7 linked regions of the Rattus norvegicus genome follow. The protein of the gene in region 3 interacts with the protein of the main gene of each other region in a biochemical or structural test. Links are inferred from orthologs where the notes say so. Each region holds a gene or a part of one and is shown on either strand. Other genes may lie near its edges.

Region 1 (4,187 bases), on a different chromosome or scaffold from region 3:
TACTGAACCATTTTGCCAGCCCTCAAATATGTGTATTTTAAAATGAAAAATAGATGTCAAGGGAAATCAAATCTAGCCCAAAAGCCTTCTTACTGAAGGAGCACATTTCTCCCCACCCTCACCTCCTCTTCAGGACCCACGTGCTCTCAAGTCTCTCCTGCCTCCCATCACCGTGCCTCCTTCTCTTCCATCCCCTGGATGCTGGGGCTCTATTGGCTTACCCACACCTTCATTCTACCTGAACCAGATGCCTTCTCACAAGGCCCTAGAGATGGTTAGAGCTTATGTCTTGGCAACTGTTTCTGGGTTAGGATCTCTCCAGCCTGGAACTCTGCTGTAAAGTAATTCCTCCTCTCCTGACTTCTTCCTTTCCTTCAATCCATCCATTCCCCAGGACATGCATTCCCAATGGCATCTCCAGCCAGAATCCCTCCTAATTGGTCTGTTTTTGTCAGTTGCATGCTCCATTTCTACCTGAAACCTCCTAATCTCCATGATCTCTTTTCCTTCTTAAGCTTATGTTTTGTAAGATCCTTTGGTCTTGATTCTACTCCTGTATCTTGCACAGCCATCCCCTTATTTTTTCCAATGGCCACAGTTTGGAGTCAGAGCATAGAAATGTTGTTCCAAAGGATTTCCCTAACTCTCGCCTCATTACCCTGTGCCATCTCCCCACTTAATACTCAAAGGCTTTCTTCCTTCTCCTGCCTGCCACATTACCAGTTCTTAGACCCACAGGAACACCTGCAATCCTCTAACAGAACTATGTTCGTTTCTCATAGTACTATTCTGGCCATGATCTAGTTGATCACATCTACCTAGAGCCTTCATACAATCTCAAAAAACATGCTCTGGTAGGGAACCAGTCTTCTCTACCCTTGACAGTTTGTCTCCCAAGCACCTCAAGGTTAGTTTCTATGGCAATATCTGCTAACCAGACTCTGGCTGCTACCTTCAAACCTCAGCGTCCTGGAAGGCTTCCCCATCTGTGGATGATTAATTGCCTTAACAGACACTGACTAGGGGCTGGGGATTTAGCTCAGTGGTAGAGCGCTTACCTAGGAAGCGCAAGGCCCTGGGTTCGGTCCCCAGCTCCAAAAAAAAAAAAAAAAAAAAAACCAGACACTGACTCCCCCCCCCCCCCCCCGCAATGCACATGTTGGGGTGGTCTCCATTGCTGTCAGCTGAGCAGCCTGCCTGCCCTCTTGGAAATATCATCTACTCTCTAAACAGCCACCACAAAAACAAGTACAGTAAAACAGGATGGCTACTCCTTTGGATAGGCAGAGCACATTTACTAAGCTCAAGAAAAGAAATTCAGTACAACCAAGAGTGCAACAGCATCCAGGATCTCTGGTATAGTAACAGATCTGTAACTCCAGCACTCAGGAATGCTGATACAAAAAGATCACAAAGTTGGAAGCCAGCCTACAATATGTAGACTTGTCATAAATAAATAAGGAACAAGTAGGGTTAGAGAGAAGGCTCAGTGCATTTAACACAAAACTATTTGTTCAGAGAACTGGAGTTTTGTTCCCAGCACTGACATCCGGTCGAGATGCTCTCTGCTGGTCTCCAGAGCCTTCACTCCTTCACCCAGGTGCACATACAGACACTTGTTTTTTCAAGTGTCCTGTGTAACAGCCTTCACTGTCCTGGAGTTCTGTTGATCAGGCTGGCCTCGAACTCACAGAGATCTGCCGTCCTCTGCCTCCGGAGTACAGGGATTAAAGGCAGGTGTCACCACACCTGTCTTCACTCTTTTTAACGACAAAAAATTAAGGAGACTCTAGTGACTACATATCTTCAATATTCCTCTTCACTTTCCATTTGCTTCGGCTTATAACTTCATGCTTCTCACGCGTGTAAACACGCTTTATTTAAGGGCCCCTAGTCAAGATATCTGGGTTTCCTATCCAAACAGCCATACACTGAAACATATTTTAGAGGAATCTTCAACGAACATTTACTAGAAAGGCATCCTTAATCTTCTGTAGGGGCTCCCATTCAGTATCTGTCCTCAACTTATCCGTATCACAACGCAACATGTGCAACAAAAGAAAAACCAGCAGCTTGGAATGAGAAAGAGTGGGTCCTTATTTCCACGGGGGGGGGGGGGGGCGCGGAGAGTCTCCAAGAGGTGCTGACGTGCTCTGTGGCTAGTTCCCTAGAGCACTGACTAGGAGCATTTCGGGGATCAGGCCTTACCCTAGGAAGCTGCCGCGGGTAGAAGGTGGCCCCGTTGCGCCCGGACAGGTCCGTTCGTTCGGCCTGTACAGGATCTAAACTAGTACATCCCGGGGATTTTGCACTGACAGCGCGAGCTCTCCGGCTTCTCTCAACAACCGCAGCAGCGGCTGAAGAGCCTGAGGTCACGCCGGGAGCGGCAGCCAGGCCCGCCCTGCCGCCTGTTGCAATCCCTGCTCCCATAGCTTCGAGGGACCCGGACAGGCCGGAGGCCACACTCGGACCCACGACTGGCTATAGAGAGTGGTCGACTGGGCTGCGAGGGCCACGGTCCGCCTCAGCCACGCGCAGGCCTCCGCCAGCCCGCGCCACGGCGCCAGGCCCGCGCCGGACGCCCTAGGGTCGCCCGGCCGGGCCCCCGCCACGTCAGGCAGTCGCCCGCGCCCTCCCCAGGCGCCCGTGATACTTGGCCCGTATCCCCGCGTCCGCCGCTGTCCCCGCTCCCTCTCCCATCCCCGCGTGCAGCGCAAGCTCGGCGACGAAGGCCTGCCAGGCCCACACGGTTCATGCCTCGCAGCTGACCTGGTGCTGCCGCAAGCTGTGGCCGCTCTCGCAGCAGGCGGGAGGCGGGAGGCTGGAGGTGGGGGCGGAGCCTCACCGTCACGTGTGATGCTGCGCAGGCGCAAGTGGACTACAGGGGGATCGCTGCGGGGCGGGGCGGAGCGAGGCCGAAGAGCGGGACTGGGGCTACACTGTCGTTGGACCGCTGGTCAGGAAACGCCACCCTAGAAGTGCCTTTTGGAGGTGCAAATTTATGCCCTTCTTTCCCTTCCTCCTTGCCTCATTCTTACCCTCACTCATTCTCTCATAGCTTCTTTGCTTGCTTGTCTCTTCACACCTAATCACTTACCCTCTCCCTCATTGCCTCCTTCCTCCCCTCACTCTCCTCTCTCATTCATTTCGTTTCTCCCTGCATTATTTCCTTCTATTCCTCATCGCGTATTCATTACTTCACTCATTGCTTCACTTGTCCCCTCCTTCTCGCTTCTTCCTTGCTCCCTACGTCGCTCCTACCCTCTCGTTCATGCTGTCTTCATTTCCCTCATCCCCTTATTTATTGTCTGAGTTCTTCCCTGTGCCTCTTATTTCTTTCTTCACTGGCCCAGGCATTCGCTTGCTTGTTTCTTCTCTCACTGTACTTTAGACTTTGGAAGGTCGCTCGCCCAGTGCTTTCTCTGGAGAGTGAAAATAAGCAAGGCCTTTATGAACAAGTGTTGATTTTCCTCTTTTCTGAGACTCTAGAGTAAAATCTCAAAACTCAGCTGCCCCTAGCTGTCCTGAGGACACCCACTTTTCTCTGCCTCACCTCCAAGAGGATCACACTCTGAGGGGTGCATACCTATAGCAGAATCCCAGAGGATAGCTGTAGGGCCTTCTTACAAATAGATAGAAGGAAACTGTAGTTTCAATGTGGAGAATGAAAGATAGGGGAAAGATATCACTAAGGAAGCCTCCTCGTGAAAAAGAGGAGAGAAGAAGAAAGTGAATAAAAGAAAGGCTGTTTCAGGTGAACCCTGATTGATGCCTGGAGGCTAGATATGGACCCAGAAGAAAAGATATGGACCCTCTTTCTAGAGAAAGAGGCGCCCAATGTAGGTGGACTTCTACCTATCAGGGCTCCCTGGAGCAAATGACAACACAGCTGGGGACTTTCAGACCATGATAAAAGTATTCTAGCAAGGGATGGTATACATATATAGAATACTTTTATCATGGTCTGAAAGTCCCCAGCTGTGCAAATACAAGGACATGAGATCCAACAAAAAGTAGAAGACAACATTCCCTTGTCATTTCTGGCTATCTAAAAATACAACCAAAACAGGTCACCCTCTAAAAAGTTTTAGAGATGGGGACTAGCAGAATAGGAAGGGATCCCACAATCTTTGCCCCAAAACTAGTTTATATAGTGTGAAGATATTCCCATCCCAAAAGCCTTGGTC
Region 2 (2,954 bases), on a different chromosome or scaffold from region 3:
TCCTCGGCGAGAGTTCAGCGCCATTCCGGGTTCCACGAGGCCCTCTCTCAACCCCTCTAATCGGTGTGCACCAGCTTGGACGTTCCATCAGTGTTTCAGAGTTACATGTATTCCATCCAGCGTGATGGAATTCCCAGGGTTTAGTCCTGCTTTGGGTGTGTTAGCGTGTTTTATTGATTTGGTTTCATTTTTGATTCTTTCCTTCGGAGCTGGGGACCGAACCCAGGGCCTTGCGCTTCCTAGGCAAGCGCTCTACCACTGAGCTAAATCCCCAACCCTGGTTTCATTTTTGAAAAATGTTATGTGTGGTGCACATGCCATGGTGCATTGGTGGAGCCCGAGGACAACTTGGGGGAATTGGTTTTCTCCTCCCACGATGTGTGTGGGTCTCAGGGACCGTCGTGCCTTTGCCTGGGAGCCGTCTCACTGGGTCTGATTCTGGTGTGACTTTGCCATTTCTGCTACCATTTGAGTGGAATGGTTTTATCCCCACCAAATAGACCTATTAAAAGTGTCTTTTTAAGGAAAGTGTCTTGTTTTTTGTAGTATATGTAAAAGTCAAATGTTCAGATGTCAGAAGTGTGAGGTTTGGAGTTTGGGAATTGTCTGAATCAGGAAGTGAGTGTCAGCTGTTCATTGAGTAGTTGCCTGGATGGTTCAGAAGACTCAGGAGCCAGTTACCACAAAAGGGCAAAAATGGCCTGTGAGCTGCTACACGTCTAACTTTCAGAGGCTAGTCAGCTAAAACCATCCCTCGTCAAAGGTACTTTCTTTATTTTTCCAAATTCACTTAAAAATATGTCTCAATTTTATTTCAAGTGAGCTTATTGGGGCCTGTGACCACTCCTGAATTCCAGCTTGTCAAGACTCCTTCATCAAATTCCCTGTCACAGAGATTGTACAACCTCTCCAAGAGCACACCCAGGTATGCAGAACTTCTCAGGGGTATGTGTGCACATACTCGTGTGTGTGTGTGTGTGTGTGTGTGTGTGTGTGCGCGCGTGCGCGTGTGCGTGTCTGTGCGTGTGTGCATGTCTGTGTGTGTGCGAGTGTGCGTGCGTGCGTCTCTCTGTGTGTGTGTCTCTGTGTGTGTGTCTGTGTCTGTCTCTGTGTGTGTGTGTGTGTGCGCGTGTGTGTGTGTGTCTCTGTGTGTGTATGTGTGCGTGAGTATGTGTGTGTCTGTGTGTCTCTGTGTGTGTGTGTGTCTCTGTGTGTGTGTCTCTGTGTGTGTGTGTGTCTGTGTGTGTGTGTCTCTGTGTGTGTGTGTCTGTCTGTGTGTGTCTCTGTGTGTGTGTCTGTGTCTGTGTGTGTGTGTGTGTGTGTGTGTGTGTGTGTGTGTGTGTACTCCTGCATGAGTTGCAGCAGCATGCTGGGGTAGAGCATACCTTGTAAGAATCAACTCTCTCCTACCGTGTAGTTCCTAGGAGTTGATTCAGGTCTTCAGGTTTGGGGACAGTAGTTTATTGAAGGTGTATTGGTGTATATGCCTGCAGTCCTCCAACAGTTCTAGCATTTGGGAGACTGAGACAGGAGAATCACCAGGAGTGCAAGGCCAGCCGGGGCCTTATCTAAAGAAGTAAATGAAAAGAATAACTGAAGTAGAAGTGGAAACCTCAGATGAAGGGCTCTGCGGTGACCCTGGGACCCACCCTGCTGGGTCAGTAACACCTTACCGAATAGCTCCCTAGGCAGTTCCCATGCTTAGTTTTATATCAAGTAACATAATTGTTATTCAGTATTTTTTATAGAATGTTTTTTAAAGAATGTGTACTTACCTGCATGTGTGATGCCTGCACTGGAGCACCCACCTGGAGAACAACCTTTAGAGTTAGTTCTTTCCTTCCTCCTTTGTGGGCTGTAGGGATGGATCTCAACTTGTCCGGGTTCGCAGTAATCACCTCTTTGTGGTGTCACTCACCAGCCTGTAGAGCACTTTTCTCAGCCGTTCTCTCTAATTTATTTTTAGATTTGGGAACAAGAGCAAGTCTGCCACCAACTTAGGTCAACAGGGCAAATTTTTCCCTGCTCCGTACCTCAAGTAAAGCTGTTTCTGCCTACTGTCTGCCTACTGCAGGAGACACACCTGTTCGCTCCTCAGCTCCTGTGTAATTACTACTTTTAGCATTTTCCAGGCTTTAAATAAAGTTTAATGTATATGAGAGTTTGATTATTACATAGCTCCCTCTCACCTGGTGACCTAGCACCTCGTAGAGTTGTTGGGAGCTTTAAAATGGAGCTTTCTGCAGGGTAGAAGGACAACGGGAATCGACTATGGCTCTTCTGGGGGGGGAGGGGGATCTCTTAGGCTTAAAGCCAGATACAGCTCGTGAAATGACTGGTCCTGTGGTGTCTCTTAGACAGTGACAGAAACTGTGCCTCTTAGGTAAACCTGAATTATCTCGGGACAAGAGGTTTTGGGACAAGATAAAGAACTACACAGAGGCCACAGGATGGCCCCTTCTCAGAAGCCAGGTCCTCTTCTCCTTCAGGGAGTGACACATGGCCGGGAGCCCTCTGCGGCGGGTAGGCCGAGGCACTGATCTGAGGATACTCACTTCTAACTGGGTTAAGTCTGAGTTGTAGAAAGTGCTAGAGGCTATGATCCCACGTGGCGTGTAGTCTCTAGTCAGCCTCAACCTGGACTTTGTTTGCAGTTGATTGGGGTCAAAGCCAGATTGGTTTAAAGCCTGATTCATTCTGACGACTGACCCCTTGTCCTTTGTCCAGTGGAGCCTATTTAAAAAGCCAGCTAATAGTTCAGAAGATTGTCTATTTTCATACAGCGAGAACGTTAGTTGCTTCTGTCTTTGCACTTTAGGTGGTGAGCTTTTTCCAGACATGTGTATGTAAGCATTGGTTTTTTGGTTAGCATTTTCCAGTGTCTAAAATGGCTTCCTTCCCTGGGATGTTTTCTGATACTCATACTAACCCTTATCTGTAAGACATGTATTTGG
Region 3 (3,500 bases):
CTCACAGTAGTCAAGGATGACTTTGAACTTGTGTTCCTTCTGCCTCTATATCCTGAGTACTAGGATTACGGTCAAGGATGGGCCACCATTCCTAGTTTATGAGCAGTTGAAAATCTAATTCATGCTAGTCATGCCCTCTATTAATCAAGTTTTCACTGAGTCCAGCTCCCTTTTCTTGTTCTCCTTTCCTATAGTGCTGAGCCTGTGGATTCCTATCTTACTGGGTGGTGGTGGTTAAAATACTGCTGTTTTATACAGGAAAGTAGTAAAAGAGTCTGTTCTGTAAACTGTTCTCAAGCTCTCCCGAAGGCAGAGAACTGTGTTATCTGGCCCTGGGGTATTCATTCCTCCTTCATTACCAGCAGTTAGATTTGGGCAGGCTTGATTTTACATATTCCATAAACACTCGTTTTTGCTAGGTTTTGTTTTTTAACTGTGTATATGTGTTTTGTTGCATGTATGTATGTCTGTGCACCACGTGCATATTTGGTGAGCACAGAGGCCAGAAGATGGTATCAGATCCCCTGGGACTGGAGTTACACATGATTGTGAGCCTCCATGTGGGTTCTGGGAACCAAACCCAGGTCTTTGGCAAGAGTAGCAAGTGTTCTTAACTGCTGAGCCATCTTTCCAACCCCTTTTTGGCTAGTTTTAAAATCAAATCCTGAATATTTTATTTCACCCTTAAGTTCTTAATGCACCATAGGGTTTATTTTTTAGTTCTCCTGGTTTGGGGAAACAAACCAGTCAAATGTAAAGCTAGCCCCTGGCCACTGTAGACCAACTTAATGCTTCAGTGTGCATCTCATTAGACTCCAGCCATTTGTAAACACACAAAGCAAGGGGTTATAGTAGAAATAAAGCTGCTGAGGCTTTATTTAAAAGGAGTCCATCCTGCAATACACTGACCCATCCTTCCACCTTCCTGGGTGCTCCAAGTGCCCTCCACTCTGTGTTTGGATTGGTGCAGCTTTGAGTCACTGGTACCTTCAGGTTGCCTCCCTGAGTGACAGCAGCAGCTGCTGTCCTGGAAAGCCAGGTTGTTGGGTCACAGACCTGAAGCTTGTCACCCTCTCAGTATGCACCACATACCTGTCACTCAGACGGGTGCTGTGTTCCCACATGGGTGATAGTTAGAGTGCTCTGGGAAGAGTGCTCGTTCTGTGTCTGCCAGGTGACTGAGTTAACCTTCTCAGGTGTGGAGAACCCCCTGCCTGACCGTCCCCGAGAGAAAGAGGAACCAGTGGTTCGGGAGACAAATGAGGCCATCGAGTGCCACCTTAGTGACTTGCTACAGCAGCTGACCAGTGTCAACGCCTCCAAGCCCTCAGAGCGAGGGCTGGTGCGGCAAGGTGAGTGCTACAGGGGTCTGCACATCTGGGGAAGGCAGGGCATCTTGGCCAGCAGAGCACTCAGGCCCACATGACCTTTGCTCTGTCCATTTCTTATAGATCAAAATCTAGGTGAGTTAGTCTGACACCCACGGGCCCCTTAGTGTTCTTTCTGCCCACTTTTCTGCTCCATCTCATCTTGTAGGTGGCTGATTGATAGGCCATCTCTGTATAGCTGCACATACTGCTCAGGGAATTAATCCCTCCAGAGACTCAGATCAGCTCCAGACTCAGGGCTTTTGTACCCAGTGTCACTGCCCTGACACCTGCTGCCATTACTTCCAAACCTGACTTAGTTCTCTATAGCATTTCTTCCCAGCAAGCACATTCGTGTCTTTGCAGCAGGGACTCGTACAGTGAGCTGTTCTAGGATTGCAGGCAGGGGTTGCCGGGTCAACTGTTTCTCCTCGCTTTAATCTGGGGCACTAGGCCTTCTACCATTCCCGGTGCAGATGATGGAGCAGCCTGGAGGCTTTGAACATTCTTCATCCCTGTGGTTGGAATGTGGGCTCTTCCAGAAGCTTGCTTCTTCTTTTCCTGTCCGAACCTACAAAGCTCATGGGTCGCAGTAGGCCTAGAGTAAAGGGGCTCACTCAATAAAGTGGGCCTTGGCATCCTGAGCTGCAGTTTTCCAATTGGGTGTCGGGCTTGTGCTGTCAGGCTCCTCCTCCAGCTTCATGGGTGCCTAGAGTCCTCCCCTGGGGAGGGCTACATGAGAGGAAAGGGAAGGGACTGACCTCACCTGTGTTCTGTTTCTATTCCAGAGGAGGCCGAGGATCCTGCTTGCATCCCTATCTTCTGGGTCAGCAAATGGGTAGACTATTCGGACAAGTATGGCCTTGGTAGGTGCCCCGGAATGTGGAATGGGCAGGGGATGGTGTGACTGTGGTAGCCTCTGAGAGGGGGAGGGGGGATGAGAATTGCGGGCCTTCTGCATGATAGGCAAGCATTGTACTACTGAGTTATTCCAAGGCCTTTGCCTGCCTCCTGCCTTTCTGAGATAGCCTTCCACTTGCCACCAGGTTATCAGCTATGTGACAACAGTGTGGGAGTGCTCTTTAATGACTCAACACGCCTCATCCTCTACAATGACGGGGACAGCCTGCAGTACATAGAGCGTGATGGCACGGAGTCCTACCTCACTGTGAGCTCCCACCCCAACTCCTTGATGAAGAAGGTGAGTTCGGGCTGCCAAGGGGTAGCATGGCAGGGTATGAGGCTGCCTCAGGGTCAGGCCCTCATGCTGAAATCCCTCCCCCAACTTTTCAAACTAGATCACTCTCCTCAACTATTTCCGCAATTACATGAGTGAACACCTGTTGAAGGCAGGGGCCAACATCACGCCCCGGGAAGGCGACGAGCTGGCCCGGCTGCCCTACCTACGAACATGGTTCCGCACACGCAGCGCCATCATCCTGCACCTCAGCAATGGCACAGTACAGATTAATTTCTTCCAGGTGTGCAGGCGGAGGGGCCTGTACTTGGGCTGGCAATGTTGTCTCTTTCACCAGTGGGGTGCCTTCCTCACTTTTGCCCCTCCCCTTGGGCACCAGTTGAGCTCTTCTCTTGCTCCCTCCTTCCCTCCTAGGACCACACCAAACTTATCCTGTGCCCCCTGATGGCAGCAGTGACCTACATCAACGAGAAGAGGGACTTCCGGACATACCGCCTGAGCCTTCTGGAGGAATATGGCTGCTGCAAGGAACTGGCTAGCCGCCTCCGCTATGCCCGCACCATGGTAGACAAGCTGCTGAGCTCGCGTTCCGCCTGCAACCGCCTCAAGGCCTCCTAGGTCTCCGTCCTTCGGACTGGTGCCCCTTCATTCTGCTAGCGCTCTGCTAGCTCTGGGCCTGCACTACTGGGCTCCTGGGGCCGCTGTTCAGTGCCCCTGGCCCTGGGGGCTGGCAGGGAGCAGTGCCCCCTGTGAAGGGGTTGCTGTGTGTAAGTTATTTTGTACATGATTGGGTGTGGGTTTGCAGCCTGTTCCCTGCCCTCGGCCCACTGTATGAACTGTATAAATATTTCTATTGAATTTGGGACTGCCCTTTCCTTAGCTTTATATATATTAAATATTTGTACATCTCTCTCTTTTTTTGGTCCTATATTTCT
Region 4 (3,500 bases), about 13 Mb from region 3:
AATAAATGACATAGGTAGGTAGTACAGCCCTCTACTCTTTACTGGTTTAAATCAGTTTCTTATTTATAGACAGGGTCTTGCTAGGTAGCTCAGTCTGGTCTATAACTTGCTGTGTAGACCAGGCTGGCCTTGAACTCACTGATATCTGCCAGTCCCTACCTCCAGAGGGATTAAAGATTTGTGTAAAATGGCTTGGTTCTTGTTCTACTCTCAGCTCCCCCATTTCACTTAACAAATGTACATTGGCCTTACTTGCCCCATCCTCTCAGAAAAAGAAACTTGACAATCTATCCTGAGAAAGTGAACAAAAATTGGTTGCTGAGGTTGATAGGTTAAAAGAAAATTTAAATTGTGTTTTCCCCCAGTGCTGAGAATTGAACCTGGGATCTATACATGTTCAGCTAGCTAGCATTGCCTCCTGTCCTAATAAGTTGTCTGGGCTAGGTAACCTTAAACTCAGTTTGTAGCCTAACCTGGGTTCAGATTTGTGGTCCTCCTACCTTAGCCTCCCAAAAGCCGGGATTATGTGCCTAATCACTAGGCCTGGCAATTAAATTTTATTTTCTGGGCTGGAGAGATGGCTCAGTGGTTAAGAGCACCGTCTGCTCTTCCAGAGGTCCTGAGTTCAATTCCCAGCAACCACATGGTGGCTCACAACCATCTGTAAAGAGATCTGATGCCCTTGTCTGTACCTCGTGTGTATCTGAAGACAGTTACAGTGGACTTATATATAATAAATGAATAAATCTTTAAAAAAATTATTTTCTATAATTGCAGATGCATTTCATACAAAAACAATAAATAAAAGTTGATATCCCAAGAAAGTTGAAGCGAGAGATTGATTCTATTAAATACCATGTTCTGGGTGTGGACTGTAGAGAGATGAGAAAGTAAAATGTTTGATGATTGCTGTCTCCATTAGGTGGGAGTTTAGCTGACGCTGTAAGTGAGAACTACAGAGTCATGAGCTACTTTACTGAAGCAGAGCTGAAGGATCTCCTTTTGCAAGTTGGCAGGGGCTTGAGATACATACATTCAATGTCTTTGGTTCACATGGATATAAAACCTAGTAAGTAAGCTTTGGCTGTGTTGTTTGTGACTTGGATATAGGAAATAAAGGACTTCATTGTAACAATGTGAAAGCCTCTTACTACTGTTCATTGATTACTAAGTAGTGTTTTAAGTCTTTCATAGTTGGTCTGTTTACATTGGTATCTGTTTCAGGACTATGCTCCACATCTGGTTATATCATTACCCTTTTCAGGTGTTATCCTGCTACTTTTTCTTTTCTTTAATATCTTATGTTTATTGGTGTGTGCCTGCATATCTATCTATCTATCTATCTATCTATCTATCTATCTATCTATCTATCCATCTATCCATCCATCCATCCATCCATCCATCCATCCATCCATCCATCCATCCATCCTGCTGTGTGAGGATGTCAGAAGCCCTGAAACTGGAGTTACAGGCAGATGTAAGCTGCCATGTGGGCACTGGGAATTGAACCCTAGTCCTTTGGAAGCCAGTGCTCTTAACTGCTGAGCCATTTCTCCTGCCCCTCTACTTCTTTTTTATTAGTTATAAGGACACTGTAGCTGTCTTCCTGACATACCCAAAGAGGGCATCAGATCTCATTACAGATCTAGAAGAGCAGTCAGTGCTCTTAACCACTGAGCCATCGCTCTAGCCTGCAGCCTGCTTTTAATAAGGGTTCAACCTCTCCTCTTCTCCACCACTCAGCAGAAGTAGTAGAAGACAAAAGTTATTAGGCTAAAGGAGAAATCGACTAGTACAGCAATAGTTCTTTGAGGGGCGGGGGAGGGGCAAGCTTGATCTTCTTTTTCAGCAATTCAGTCCCTTAGCAAACACCAAATATGGCTCAGCGGGTGCAGACCAGTCCACTAGGCAGGCAGACCCCAGGCATGAACTGGCAGCTACAGTCCATTTCTTTTAGCAGGCAGACCCTGAAGCTGCCGCAGGAACCTCACAAGCAGTTCTTGGTGAGTTACCACAGGTTGTGAGCTCAACAATGCTATGCAAGGCAATCAATACACGTGTCGTTAATGCCAAAGTCTCCCACTATTTGTGGGGTCATATTTATACTCCATCACAGGTCCTTCTATGTGTTTGCTATATCAAAACATTCTTTTACCTGTGTCTGCTTCAGGAAAACATTCTTTCAGGTGTTTACTTTATCAAGCATCCTTTCACTTGCCAGCAAAACATTTGACATAACTAACTTTCCAAAGAACTAGAAGTTTCCACTTCAGCCTTGTTTGTTAAATATAGTTATTATTATTCAACAGGTAATATTTTTATATCTCGAACCTCAATCCCAAATGCAGTCTCTGAAGAAGGAGATGAAGATGACTGGATATCCAACAAAGTTATGTTTAAAATAGGTAAAACTATTTTGTTAACTATTAGGGATAACTGTTAAAATTAAGAAGGGTTGGCGTGGGGGTTGGGGATTTAGCTCAGTGGTAGAGCGCTTGCCTAGGAAGCGCAAGGCACTGGGTTCGGTCCCCAGCTCCGAAAAAAAAAGAACCAAAAAAAAAAAAAAAGGGTTGGTGTGGGGCTGGAGAGATGGCTCAGCGGTTAAGAGCACTGACTGTTCTTCCAGAGGTCCTGAGTTCAAATCCCAGCAACCACATGGTGGCTCACAACCATCCATAATGGGATCCGATGTCCCTTCAGGTGTGTCTGAAGACAGCAACAGTGTACTTACATACATGGAATAAATAAAATAAATCTTTAAGAAGGGTTGGTGTTAGGGGTGGGTGTGTGCATAGGTGTAGTGGGCATGATGGGAAAGACTATGCCACAGCGTGTGTAGATGTTAGAGGACAGGCTTGAGTATTCTCATATTCCCCCTTGTTCCAAGGTGGGGTCTTTTGCTGTGTACTGCTTTGGATACCCAGGATAGGTAGCCTGTGAACCTCTGAAATTTTTGTCTCTAGCTCCCATCTTGATGTTGTTCTGGGTTTGCAAACATGTGTTCCTATGTTGGCTTTTACATGGGTTCTGGGGATATGAATGGTGGTCCTTAGTCTTGTGAGGCAAGCATTTTATCCACTGAGACATTTCCATAGTCTCATGTAAGTGCACCACTGGATACTTGGTCCCCAAAGAAGCCAGGAGAAGCATCAGATCCCCGGGAACTCAGTAACAAGTAGTTGCGAGCTACTGTGTGGATGCTGGGAACAGAACTTTGGTCTTTAGTGAGAGCGTCAAGAGCTCTTGTCTGTGAGCCATCATCTCTCCAGCCCATGTTTATCTACTTTGGGACAGGATTTTCTGTATCCTAGGTATACATTATCCCAGGTCTGCTTCCTTGAGCTTGTTGTGTAGCCCAGAAAGCTGAGGATTCTGCCTCGACTTTGAATCCTAGGATTATGGACCTGTGTTGTCATAGTTATAGTTGGTTTATATGGCTATAGATAACAAGACAGGGCTTTGTGCATGATAGATAAGTTGTCTACTAACTGAGCTTCTGT
Region 5 (4,004 bases), on a different chromosome or scaffold from region 3:
CTATTCGGCAAGTTTGAATGAGGTTGAAGTGGGTTGCAACTAAAAAAATTTTTTAAAGCAAATCAACAGAGAAAACTACAGTACATGCATATATACTGTTTTTATCAAGTTTCTTTTTTTTTTTAAAACATAGGTAGCTACACAAATATCTTTATGGGCCAACACAGTTTCACTGATCATTGAAAACTAATAAAAAGTACTTTTTTTTTAAAGGATACTATTGCTGCTCCAACAGATTGAACTGATTCCATGCGGTGACGTGTGGGGGTTGAATTTATCCACCAATGTCAGAAACGAAGCATCCCATATTTTAACATCATCTCCTGATGAGGCAAATCTGAGGTTTTCCTGCATGGCTGAGCCTATAAAAAGTTTAGAACAACGTATTTAAAACGCAGTTAGGGAAAAGCAAATTTTAAAAGCTGAAATGTGCCTGATCTAAAGGCAAGGGGTGTTACTTGTCCTTTTCTGTCAAACAGCATGCACAGTAGTATAAGATGATTTAAACAACAGCCAATCACATACGCTTAGCTCATCCTTCCTAGAATCCCCTCGGCAACCTCCATAAACCCAACCTCCTCCGCCTGCCTTACAGGACAGGAATGCCTGCATGGCTCTCCTACCTCTCTTGCCTGAGGCCGCCAGATCTGACACTGGCTTTCTTCATGTCTATGAACCAAGCCAAGCTCATCCTCGTCTTAGTGTCTCTGCACCTGCTGCCCTACTCTACCTGGAAAGCCACCCCCTACGTCCCCCCCCCCCAAACCATCTCCTAATCATTCGGTCCTCAGTTCAAAACTCTCTGCTTCTAAAAGGTGGGCTCCCCAGGGACTGCGGCAAAAACAGCCCTTTATCAGTGCTACTCTTATTCAATATGCTACCCGATTCAATTTCATTAGCAGAACTTCTGTTGTCTTCATTGTTCCCATAACGATGCCTGCCTCCTCATGAAATATTCCTGACCCATACTAAGTACTTCGCAGAGAAATCTACTAAGTGATGTTCTCATGTATTTTTTTTAATGTATGAGCCTGCCTAGAAGTCTGAATCCTGTTGTGCCAAGTTTTCCAAACTCTAAAATTAACAACAAAGGAAGCTGCCACTGCATATCCTAATACCAAGTCTTGGTCCGGGGCCTCAGTTTTATGCAGTGTGACGTTCCAACACATACATCTGACAAGAGTGATGCCAAAGCCAAAGTAGTCTAGACAGAAAGCAGAGAGGCTGCTCCAAGAACTCTGAAGGGAGGGCAGCAGGTACTGTGGAGGACAGAGTACTTAAACATACACAGGAGAGAAGAAGGCAGAGAAAGATATTCCCACACCCTGGAGGGGTGGTACAAGAGCCTGTTATTATAAGACTGGCAGTGGTGGTGGTGCAGGCCTTTAATCCCAGAAAGAGGCAGGTGGACCTGTGAGTTTGAGGCCAACCCAGTCTGTGGAGCTGGTTCCAGCCAGCCAGGGGCTACACAGAAAAAAATCCTGTCTCAGAAACAAAACAAACAAGCAAGCAAGCAAAAAAAAAAAAAAAAAAAAAAAGTACTATAGTATTATCCAATTAAACTGTTGATAATACAATTTATCCTATTGCCTATGTCTAAAAAACTAATTAGTATACAACGAGTTTGAATGAAGTGAGTTGCAACCAATCTTTATATATACATAAAATCAATGGATAAAGCCAAGGCGCAAGCAGATGTACTATTTTTTAATGTATGTTCCTGTGTGTGTGTCTGTGTGTTTAAATATATTTTTATAGGTCAACAGTTTCATTGATACTTGAAGTCTAATAAAAAGTGGTTACTTTCTTTTAAAATGGGATGTTCCTGTTGCTCCAGCATACTGAACTGATGCCATGTGGTGACATATGGGGGCTGAATTTATCCACCAATGTTACAGGCCAACAGCGGTCACAGACACGCCCCTATATTATCAACAATGCACCACACATATCTCTAATGGGTTCCAGAGGACAAACTAAAAAGGTACCATAGATTCTCAGGAGGGAAAAACAAAAAACAAAAAAACCTAAAGTTTAAGGAAAGGATAAAACGTTTAGCCAGAAACTCCTATGATTTGTTGTTCATATTTTGGGATACAGTCGTGTGGTGGTTCCATGTTAGAACGGCCCCTAGTAGGTGCTGCTAAAAAACGTGTAGAGTCACCTGTTGAGTTGTAGACAATGTTTCTATTTGGTGACTGAAGCATGTACACTATGCCTCTTGTTCCCGGACTCACGGAAAAACACAGGGTAGAAAAGTCGAACTCTTAAGAGCAGTAAACACAACTGCAAGATGTTGCTACCATAACCCAGTGTGGTGCAATGGGTGGATCAAGGTTCCCCCGAAAGCTGAGTTAAGCGACCCACACAGCTTCAGTGATGCTGACTTCACAAAGTCGTCTCAGTTCCCTCGCTTGGCTTCTGGGATCTGACATCAGTCCCCCGAGACGATCCCGTGAAAGAAGAGCGACAGCGACCAACTGCACACTCTGCTAAAGAAGAGTTCTCTGGGGTCGCACCCCTAGCCCAGGGCGGCTGCGCTACGCAGGAGAGTCAGACCCGAGTGTCGGGGTGAGCGAGCAGCCCGGGATAGCTCGGCCCGTAGGTCCCGGGCCCGCGACCTGGTCCTATCCCGTCCCGGGCCACTCACCACCGCGCGCGCCCGCAGCCGCCCAGCGCAGGACGGAGGACGCTGACTTCGGGGTCCCCCGCCTAGGGCTGCGGTGCTTGCTCACAGAGACCCCCTGTCAGGCGGAACCTCACCTCTCAAGCGTGGGACCACAGGGGGGCCCGGCTCCACCCGCTCTTTCGCTGCGCTTCCGGCTCCCGCCTGGACTGTTAAACTTAGGCGGCCGGAAGTCCCGCCTCACATGACGTCACGGAGAGGCGGTGCCGCGGGCGCTCCACCAGCGCTTGCTGGGTGGCAGCCCACGCCGGGGTGGTGCAAAGAAGTTTTCCTAACCTGTAGCTACTACTCCTTTGTCGCTCATTTGTTTGTTGTCTACTGTGTGCCAGGCACCTAGTTAGGCTGTGGGTGTGCACTGCTGGGTTTAGCTTGAAGGGACAAGAGATCAGTCAATATGCAGGTCTCTGGCCTGATGGAGATTACAGTCTAGTGTAGGAAATTAGTATTAACAATTCTATAGAGAAAGGGAAGACAAAAGACGGGGGAGTTCGAGACGAATGCTGGCTACTCTCAGTTCCCACAAAAAGGTGTCACAGTTTTATCACAAGAACACTCTTAATAAAGGCAGTTAACATGGATGTTGGTTTAAGAGAGGATATATAGAAGAGGGAGCCATGGAAAACCATGGATTAAACATCTGATTTAAAAGAGGTGTAGTGGTACGTGTCTTTAATCCCAACACTCCCGGGAGGCATTGGGATCTATGTGGGTTTGAAGCCATCCTGGTCTACAGAATGAGTTCCAGGCAGTTATACAGAGAAACCCAGTTTCAAAAAAGAAAGAGGGGAAGACATGGGGGAGGGAAGTGGGGTAGGAGTGGGAGAAGGAAAGGAAGGGAGGCGGGAGAAAGGGAGGGGAGGGAAGCGGAGGAGAGGAGAGGATCATCTAACCCAAAACGAACCCTAACTCTGAGAATAAACCCAACGGTGACGTAAGCCTCTGAGCTAGCCGTCTTCAAATGCCAAACGTCACATGCTGCGATCAGTTACATGAACACCAGCTCAGTGGTTATTCTTTTGAGGGAATTTGTCTCATGGTAGAAAGGGGCCGATGAACTGAGTTTTCCAAAAGTCTTGCTAAAAGGTTGCTCCGTTGACAGTGTTCACAATGTTTACAGTGTTGACAGTGATTACTTCCATCACTGATAGGGGGTTTCTATGGAAAATGTCACTCCTTGGTCCCAGGTGTACACAGGATGTGTTTCTGAACTGCATACATAATGTCCCGATCACCTAAACTCATATCACAAGCAACTGGAAACCTAAGATATGCCAATCCCCACTCTCAGGAGAAAAGGAAGTTCTCTATCCAGCCTCTG
Region 6 (4,188 bases), on a different chromosome or scaffold from region 3:
CAAAAGGTAGAGTATAACTGTTTTTACCCATTGCTTCGTTCCACAAAAACCCAGGCAGCACCTCCCCCTCCTCTGCTCACAGCAGCAGCAGTTGTGTCTTGTGCATAAACAGAGAAAGTTACTCCAAAGCTCCAGTCTTTTTTTTTTTTTTTTTTTTTTTTTGGTTCTTTTTTTTCGGAGCTGGGGACCGAACCCAGGGCCTTGTGCTTCCTAGGTAAGCGCTCTACCACTGAGCTAAATCCCCAGCCCTCAAAGCTCCAGTCTTAACCCCTGCACTGGTAGCCTAAGTCAGAGAGCAAGGGGTAGCATTACTCAGGGCCTGATGTCATCTGAGTGGCTGTGAGGGCATAAAGGAGACAGATGGAAAATCAAAACCTCAAGGGAAAACTCTGGCTTAGTGGAACATGCTGTTTGCCTAGCACTAGGGAGGCTGAGGCAAGAGGATGGATGTCTGCAGATTGAAGCCAGTAAAAGTAAGTTTGCAAGACGGACTCAAAAAAGTGAAAGGTAAAAGAGGAGGAAGGGGTATGGCAGAAGCCTGAAGGAAGGACCCAGTAGATTCTGGGTCACTCCAAGGGCTGAGTCTACCTGGGTTACACAGCTGATCTAGCATAGGAGAAGAGCTGGATGTTACCCATGAAGGAAGGGCTTTTCATAGTCCTACTGAGAACAAATGACAAGCATAACTAAGCAGAGGGGCAGGTATAGGGGTGTGTGTGTGTAAAAGAGTTTCACTATGGGGGCTGGATAGATGGCCCGGAGATTAACAGCACCATCTGCTCCTCTATTGGACTGGAGTTCAATTTCCAGTACCCATGTGGAGGCTCACAACTGTCTCTTCAGGCTTCTTGGTGGGCACTGCATGCATATGGAATACACATGCAAGCCTAATACCCATACATGTATTTTTTAAAAAAGTGTACGTAGCCCAGGACAACCATGAACCAGATCTCCTCCTGCTTCTGCCTAAGTGCTGGAAATACAGCTGTGTGCCACCACACCCAGTTAGAGACAAGTTTATGCTAGAGGTCACAACCCCACCCTAGGAATGGAGCAGCCCAAAGCCTCTGGGGATAAATCCAACTAAAACCTTTGTCAGGTCACCTTCCCTGAACCTCAGCTTTCTCATCTGTAGACTGGGACAAGAGAATAAGGACATCAGAGCATAAAGGCTTATAACTTTAGTCCCAGTGCGTGAGAGGCTGAAGCACAAGGATCATGAGTTGGAAGCAAGCTTGGGCTACACAGCAAGACTTTACCTCTGTGTGATGTAATCCCAGCAGAACACCAGAGGTTCAAGGTCATCCTTGGATAAGTATCGTCTGAGCGCTCATGCTCGCTCTTGCGCACTCTTTCTTTCTTTCTTTCTCTCTCTCTCTCTCTCTCTCTCTCTCTCTCTCTCTCTCTCTCTCTCTCTCACACACACACAAACACACACATCTTAGAAAGGAAAATGGCTCAATGGGTAAGTGCTTGCAGCCAAATCTGACGGAGTTCACAATCTACTCATGGTAGAAGGAAGAAAACTCTTGCAAGTTAAGATTGTCTGACCTTCACATGCACATACATTAAATACAGTATTACTAATATTATTAGTAAAGATTGTTTCAATAAATAAATTGGGCAAAGTGGTGCATGCCTGTAATCTCAGCACTTGGGGGAGCTGAAGCAGGGGGATCAGGAATTCAAGAGTAACCTGTCTTTATGAGGCTCTGTCTAATGCCTTTCCACATCCACTCTTGATAAAAAGGTGGAAAGTGAATGACATTAAACCTAGCTGGGTTCAGAGAGTTAACATATGCAGTGTCCAGAACCTTGATGCTTAATAACTAAGAATTTTGAGTGAGCTCTGTAGGTTGCATTGACCCTGGCTACCTGAAATGCTTGTAGGCTACTCTAGGCGTTGCCACTGACACTGGGAAGGGGACATTTGAGATCAAAAAAAAAAAAAAATCATTGCAATCTAGGGCATTCCCAGTGACTGAACTGCATTATCAGATGAGTTCTTTCCATGTCTGGCCTCAGTTTCTCCCTCTTGAAATATGAGAGCAATTCCTTTCTTGAAAGATGGTAGCAACCGGGGTGTGGGGGGGAGGAGAGCATGAACCAAGAAAAGAGAGGGAGCGAGGGAGGAGGGAGAGGGAGATGGAGGAACAGAGGTGGAGGTGGGGATAGGAGGAAGAGGAAGAGTGGAGAGGTGGGTGGGAGAGAGAGGGAGGGGTGGAAGGAGAGAGTGAGAGAAGGCAGGAGGGAGAGGGGGAGGGGAAGCGGGAGCACACACCGGCGTAGACTTGTAAAAGAACTGAAGTCTTTCAAAGAGTTTGGCACCATGCTTGACCCAGAGACGAACTGTCCTGGTTAGGAGCCATCACTGTCCCTGGGTCCCGATAGGGGGATGAGCGGGCACGTGTCTCGGATGCTGCCCGAGAAACCAGAGCAGGGCGGCCCACGCCCTCTGCACCGAATCCCGATCTTCCTCTCAAGGGAACTCCGAGGTGCAGACTCGTCGCCTCAGAGCACCGGGGCCCAGTGGTGGGCGAGAACCGGGGCGCGCCTGTGCCTGCCCCACCTCCTACCTCAGTATCTGGCTTTCCGGGCCCGTTATGCCGCGGAGGAGGCCAGATCTCCATGCCCGAAGCAGGACGGTGATGCGACTCGCCTGTGCAGGCGAGCTCAAGCCCAACTTCCGCAACCTCCAGGCCTCGCCCCGGGCCCTGGGCGACCCCTAAGAGGTACCTGAGCTGCGACTCATACGCTTCTCCCACCCGGACGGCAGCTTCTCCTCGTCCGCCATCTTCCCTCCTGCCGCAGCGCCTGCTCCGCCTCCGCGGCTCTGACCCCGCGCCAGACCAGCGCCGCTGTTGATTGGCTCATCCAATCGAGACGCCAATTGGACGGCAGCACAACGCCTCGAGCTCTCGAGCCTTTTATTGGGCTCTCCCGCGGCCTCCTGGACCACCCCTACACACACCCTCCACCCACTACCCTCACCTTCCCAACACCGCTACTGATTGGCTCGTCTGGAAGCTACGTCTATTGGATGCTCCAACCCGGCAAGCGGCTCCCTTTAAGCGTCAAAAGGGCGCTCCACCCTTTTTGGTGCGCTTAGCCGATAAAATAGTGCTTATTTGACTGGCTCCTGCGGCAGCCAATCCGGCCTTCTCAAGCCTTTCTCGGAGGTCCGCCAGAATCCACGCGGAAGTGGCCAGCTGGAACTAAGGTACATGGGTGCTTTTGCTGTACTTTGCCGTTGCCATAGCAATGCAGTTGCCTTGGTGACAAAAGGCTAACTATTCAGAGCCTAAATTTGGCTTTTGAGTTCTTCTTCCCACCTTTTCCTCCAGATGTCCAAAGCGAAACCAGTCCTTTTCGGTTTTTGCAAGGCGAACCATTTCACTGGTTTATTCACCCACTTTCCATGTCTTTTTTAGAACCTACTTCGACTTATTCCTTCTCCATGGGCTCCTCCTGACTTCTAGGCAGGTGACTGATGGGTGAGAGCATTACCACTAGACCGAGGAAAGGGGGTAGGAGAGGGTGGGCGGCTCCAACGACCGGTTTTAGTCAACTGGTAGTCTGAGGAAAACGGTGTGTTAATGTATACCTTCAATCCTAGTACTCAGGAGGCAAAGGCAGGCAGTTCTGAGTTCGAGACCAGCCTGCTCTACAAAGTGAATTTCAGCACAGCTAAGGCTACACAGGAAACTTGTCTCAACAAACGAATGAACGAATCAAAAAAAAAAAAAAAAAAAAAAGACAGCTAGAGAGATGGCTCAGTGGTTAAAGCACTAGCTGCCCTTCCATTAGACCTTTCAATTCACCAGACCTGCATGTGGTACACATTCATACATACATGCAGGCAATTCATATATATAAGAATTTTAAAATGTTACTTTATGCCTAGTGCTGGTGGCAAACGCCTTTAATCCTACACTTAGGAGGCAGAGGCAATCAGATCTCTGAGCTTGAGGCCAGCCTGGTGTACAAAGTGAGTTCCAGGACAGCCAGAGCTACACAGAGAATCCCTGTTTCAAGAATTTTTAAAAAATCACTTTAAAAAACTATTACATTTATAAGGGATACCGCCATGAAAGCTGTGTAATCAAGAGGACAATTTGTGGCAATCTGTTCTCTCCTTCCACCATGGGGTTCTGAAGGTCAAACTAAAGTTGTCAGGCTTGGTGGCAA
Region 7 (4,083 bases), on a different chromosome or scaffold from region 3:
CGCTATCCTTCATGAGGAGAAAATATTTTTCTCCTCCTAATATCATGTAAAGGGTATTTACTTAAGAAGCATATGGGTGTGAGCAACACAATATAACTCAACAGAAAGATGGCAATTTGCTGCCTCTGAGAGACAATTGCCTTACCTCACTGGAAATACTACCAGTCTGTAAACAAAAAAATACATACATATATATGTTAAATTATAGATCCAATTAGGACTTCAAGATCATTAAAAATGTAGTAATCTTAGAGTTGGAAATTTGTCTCAATAAAAACTCTTACCTCAGAGGACACAGTGAATGCATCCTTCTGTAAAAGCAAACAATTAAAAACATTATGTTACTATATCAACCCTGTTATTAAACATACTTTCTGCTTGATTTGCATGTCTTTTTATCTCTTTCAGAAATAAAAAAATTGATATATGGCTTTCATAATCTTGAAAACTTATATTTACAATCTCTTTGATATTTTAATAAGTTTTTATAGGTACATTATTATATTACATAAAGGTGTACATAAACTTTGACGGCTGGCAAAAGTTACTTTGCTTTCCACTAAACACTTTCTTATTATGCCTATGACTCTACTCAGAGCATGGCCACAATTCTGGATTGTATTTCCTCCTCTAAATATCTCTTTGGACAGGCACAGTAAGACTTGATCTGCTCATCTAAAGAGGTGCATGCACTTTATCATCAGACTGAGATACTCAAGCTGCACATGTGAGTCTACTTTTGTGAAGTCATGTTTATTTGATGTATTTCTATCGCCTTGCTTCAATTCTTATTTCTGCTTTTGTTGTTGTTAGAGAATTTGTCACACAATAGTGCAGTAAGCACTTATTTCAGCTTGGAGAGCCTACAGGAACTTTGAGACCCTGGGTGATTCTCAAACAAGCGGTGACTAAATAAAGCTATCCCAAACTCTCCATTGATTGCACATTAAAAGCTATCACTGCTGTTATTGTGTATAAGTGAGCAGACTCATCTCTACATCTTAATTACTTAGGAAGCTTCTCTACACACCTCCCTTGCAAGAGCAAGTGCCACAAGGCAGGCAAGGATGAAGACCTTCATGGCTGTCAAGTCCTGTGAATGAAGAGAAGAATTAGAAACAGATTAGTCAGCAACAAATCAGAATCTGCTCTGGTTCTTAAATACTCCTATTACTAAGCCCTACACTCAGACGTCAGCTGCGGCCATCATCAGCGTTCGTCAGTTCACAGCTCCTGCCATTCTTTTCTTTTTTAACTTTCCTTTGCTAACAGTTGCATGGATGCCTTACAAAAGCTATGGAGAATGCATAACTAGCCAAACATTCCACAAGTCATTCATTTTAAACTCCTGAGCACTTACAGGTGGCCAGACAATGAACAAAATATTAATATCTCAGTTCTATGGAGTCTCACATTCACATCTAGAATGAATTAGTAGACAAAGTGTATTAACTGTTTTGTTGCTTGTGAATTATCACAGCATGAAAAAATAAAAATTTAAATATATTTATAAAGCATTCTTTCCAATACTTGAAGGTGGAAAACTATCCCATTAGTGAAAAGAAGTGGGTTTGGTTTTTTGTTTGTTTTTCTGATGTATGTTGTATTATTCATTATCAACACTTTGTCTGAAGCTTCCTCCATGGGTTTCCACATAATCCAATCATCCTAGATTAAAAGAAAGTTGTGTCTTTGTGTATTTTAAATGTGGGGAGAATACCACTGCAGTTCTTGTATTTAAACCTTGGCATTTTATACACCAATTTTAAACCAGAACTTCACTGTTATGTGGTATGTTCTAAGCTACAGTTCTTTCAACTCATCTTACTTCAATGATCACTAGTTCTAAGTGAGTTCTGATAAAGACTGAAGGAGCTGAAGGGGTTTACAACCCCATAGGAAGAACAACAATATCAACCAACCAGACCCCCCAGAGCTCCCAGGAACTAAACCACCAATCAAAGAGTACACATGGAGGGACCCATGACTCCAGCTGCATATATAGCAGAGGATGGCTTTGACTGGCATCAATGGGAGAAGAGGCCCTTGGTCCTGAGAAGGCTTTATGCCCTAGTGTAGGGGAATGCCAAGGAGGGGAGGAGGAAAGGGGTGGGTAGTTGTGTGGGGGAACACTCTCATAGAATCAGGCTGGGAAGGAATGGAATAGGGGGGTCCTGGAGGGGAAACCAGGAAAGGGGATAACATTTGCAATGTAAATAAATAAAATACCCAATAAAAAAGAAAATAGAAGACTTTGTTTCTATTTTTTACATGGTTTCTAATATTTCTTGTAATACTATGAACTAGATCAAGAATTCCAAGCCCCTGGAAAAGTTTTATGATTACAATTTTCTTGCTTATAAACATGCAGTTTGCTTCTTCCAACAGCTATGCCATAAGTATCTATTTTCCATGATATAATTTGAGTGCATTACACTAGTAAAATACATCAAATCAAATAAGATAGCTTGTGTAGGAGATAATTCTTAGTCTCTCCTTTATAGTAGTCACTGGCTTTATATATTTTTACTACATTTACCCAATTTTATGAAGCCAGGGTCATTATAATTTGTACCAAATTTTTCTAGGCATTTCTGACTTTCAAAAGCCTGTCCTTGAAAATAATCTCACAGTTTTTTAAAATATCTATTTTCAGAAAGCTATATTTTAAGTAAATCTCTTCTTTCTATAACATAGTCTAGTATGGGTTTGAAATAAATAATGAAAATAATATTTCAAACTTACGTCTGAAGTTCTTACCTTTAGCGGAGGACAAGAGAGAAGATGAAGCTCAGAGGATGATGGTCTATCAGACTCTGTGACTGTATATATACCATACTTAATGACATGCTAATTTGTGGTTCGTAAGATATTCAAAAGTCCCTTAATTCCAAGAAGTCCACATGATTAGAAAATGGTTTCTTTCTATTTTCTTTCCCAAGAAATTCTGGGGGACATTAAACAAGGCAGCAATTCAGAAGCTGGTGAAGGAACTTGTCCAGGAAAGGAAATTGTCCAATAACTGGACGTCTCTCCAGCCTAGTACACAGTCCTCAGCACTCTCCCCAGCCTAGTGGGGGGCTTTAACCTCACCTATGTGGCAATGATATAGAGACATCAAAATTCACAAAGCTTTAGAGAGGCCAAGATTTCATCTCCACCTGAGCACTAAGAACTCCATAATGCTAAGATAGACTGGTCATGAGTAGCATACTTTTTGATTGCTCACATTCACCAGATTTGGGAAAATTTAAATACATTCAACTAATATTCAGTACACAGGGGACTGCGTTTTACATAGTATTAGAACAAGTCAGAAAAGGAATCTTTAAGGTTTGTATAAAAGATAAAACTATGAATCTGTAAAAAGAGAAAAGTTTGTAAAACGGGCTTAGAATAAATCAAATTCTTGGCTTAAATAATAAGGCCTCAGAGGTCTACAAACACCAAAAAAGGTATTTCTCTCTGTGTGTGTCTCTCTCTGTCTCTTTTTGTGTACATTTCTCTCTCTCTCTCTTTCTTTCTCTCTCTCTCTCTCTCTCTTTCTTTCTCCTTTCTTTCTGTTCTTTTATTGAAAATAGGCATGTAAATGTATTTACTTAGCAATCAGTTACCTTTTTCTTCAGTTATGATAGTCATAATAGTAATTACAGATACAAACTTTTATCTTTTTAATGCTATGCGTAACAGCCACTAACTACATAATAATCATTATCTTGTCATCTTTTTGCAAAACAACTTGAAGTTGCTTTTTTTTCTCATTATCAACATTTAGGAAATGAAGACACTATATGTACAACTTGCTCAGTCATGTTACATTTAATGATAAAGTTATAATACCCACTCTACATTTGTCTCGCTACAGCTGATTTTTATTTGGTCACATGTAAGTTCCGTGGCCCATACTTTAACTCTTCTGGGATTTTGTCATGAAAAACTCAAACTTAAATGTATTATTTTTGTTTCAATGTATTAATTTAATATATACAATAGAGAAATAATACATATCTGATGAATGTCTTGATGAGTTCTTTAGTTTAGCTAGATCATAAAGAATGAGTAGAATTTTGAAATCAATAAGTA

Evidence for each region.
Region 1: the proteins of Plk1 (region 3) and Klhl22 form a complex in vitro, tested with the Homo sapiens proteins (2 studies listed by BioGRID, with this or other methods). The link is inferred for Rattus norvegicus from reciprocal best matches to the Homo sapiens genes PLK1 and KLHL22.
Region 2: of the proteins of Plk1 (region 3) and Racgap1, one has a biochemical effect on the other in vitro, tested with the Homo sapiens proteins (3 studies listed by BioGRID and IntAct, with this or other methods). The link is inferred for Rattus norvegicus from reciprocal best matches to the Homo sapiens genes PLK1 and RACGAP1.
Region 4: the proteins of Plk1 (region 3) and Wee1 form a complex in vitro, tested with the Homo sapiens proteins (2 studies listed by BioGRID, with this or other methods). The link is inferred for Rattus norvegicus from reciprocal best matches to the Homo sapiens genes PLK1 and WEE1.
Region 5: the proteins of Plk1 (region 3) and Nedd1 form a complex in vitro, tested with the Homo sapiens proteins (2 studies listed by BioGRID). The link is inferred for Rattus norvegicus from reciprocal best matches to the Homo sapiens genes PLK1 and NEDD1.
Region 6: the proteins of Plk1 (region 3) and Pin1 form a complex in vitro, tested with the Homo sapiens proteins (3 studies listed by BioGRID, with this or other methods). The link is inferred for Rattus norvegicus from reciprocal best matches to the Homo sapiens genes PLK1 and PIN1.
Region 7: of the proteins of Plk1 (region 3) and Csn2, one has a biochemical effect on the other in vitro, tested with the Homo sapiens proteins (3 studies listed by BioGRID). The link is inferred for Rattus norvegicus from reciprocal best matches to the Homo sapiens genes PLK1 and CSN2.

What each region holds. Positions count from the first base shown.
Region 1 is NC_086029.1:96,733,216-96,737,402, forward strand, and holds the start of Klhl22 (kelch-like protein 22), read right to left. Parts: upstream 2,801-4,187; 5' UTR 2,770-2,800; intron 2,665-2,769; exon of another isoform or gene 2,431-2,664; coding exon of another isoform or gene 2,209-2,430; intron 1-2,208. UniProt on the Homo sapiens protein: Substrate-specific adapter of a BCR (BTB-CUL3-RBX1) E3 ubiquitin ligase complex required for chromosome alignment and localization of PLK1 at kinetochores.
Region 2 is NC_086025.1:132,629,831-132,632,784, reverse strand, and holds the end of Racgap1 (rac GTPase-activating protein 1), read left to right. Parts: intron 1-819; coding exon 820-925; intron 926-1,966; coding exon 1,967-2,042; 3' UTR 2,043-2,454; downstream 2,455-2,954.
Region 3 is NC_086019.1:186,154,158-186,157,657, forward strand, and holds the end of Plk1 (serine/threonine-protein kinase PLK1), read left to right. Parts: exon of another isoform or gene 1-1,196; coding exon 1,197-1,352; exon of another isoform or gene 1,353-2,155; coding exon 2,156-2,233; exon of another isoform or gene 2,234-2,413; coding exon 2,414-2,568; exon of another isoform or gene 2,569-2,665; coding exon 2,666-2,848; exon of another isoform or gene 2,849-2,979; coding exon 2,980-3,183; 3' UTR 3,184-3,480; downstream 3,481-3,500. UniProt on the Homo sapiens protein: Serine/threonine-protein kinase that performs several important functions throughout M phase of the cell cycle, including the regulation of centrosome maturation and spindle assembly, the removal of cohesins from chromosome arms, the inactivation of anaphase-promoting complex/cyclosome (APC/C) inhibitors, and the regulation of mitotic exit and cytokinesis.
Region 4 is NC_086019.1:173,616,041-173,619,540, forward strand, and holds part of Wee1 (wee1-like protein kinase), read left to right. Parts: intron 1-922; coding exon 923-1,069; intron 1,070-2,309; coding exon 2,310-2,405; intron 2,406-3,500. UniProt on the Homo sapiens protein: Acts as a negative regulator of entry into mitosis (G2 to M transition) by protecting the nucleus from cytoplasmically activated cyclin B1-complexed CDK1 before the onset of mitosis by mediating phosphorylation of CDK1 on 'Tyr-15'.
Region 5 is NC_086025.1:29,158,835-29,162,838, forward strand, and holds the start of Nedd1 (protein NEDD1), read right to left. Parts: upstream 2,801-4,004; 5' UTR 2,764-2,800; exon of another isoform or gene 2,651-2,763; intron 363-2,650; 5' UTR 355-362; coding exon 219-354; intron 1-218. UniProt on the Homo sapiens protein: Required for mitosis progression. Promotes the nucleation of microtubules from the spindle.
Region 6 is NC_086026.1:27,464,254-27,468,441, reverse strand, and holds the start of Pin1 (peptidyl-prolyl cis-trans isomerase NIMA-interacting 1), read right to left. Parts: upstream 2,801-4,188; 5' UTR 2,795-2,800; coding exon 2,737-2,794; intron 1-2,736. UniProt on the Homo sapiens protein: Peptidyl-prolyl cis/trans isomerase (PPIase) that binds to and isomerizes specific phosphorylated Ser/Thr-Pro (pSer/Thr-Pro) motifs.
Region 7 is NC_086032.1:20,600,541-20,604,623, reverse strand, and holds the start of Csn2 (beta-casein precursor), read right to left. Parts: upstream 2,801-4,083; 5' UTR 2,761-2,800; intron 1,094-2,760; 5' UTR 1,082-1,093; coding exon 1,031-1,081; intron 312-1,030; coding exon 285-311; intron 167-284; coding exon 146-166; intron 1-145. UniProt on the Homo sapiens protein: Important role in determination of the surface properties of the casein micelles.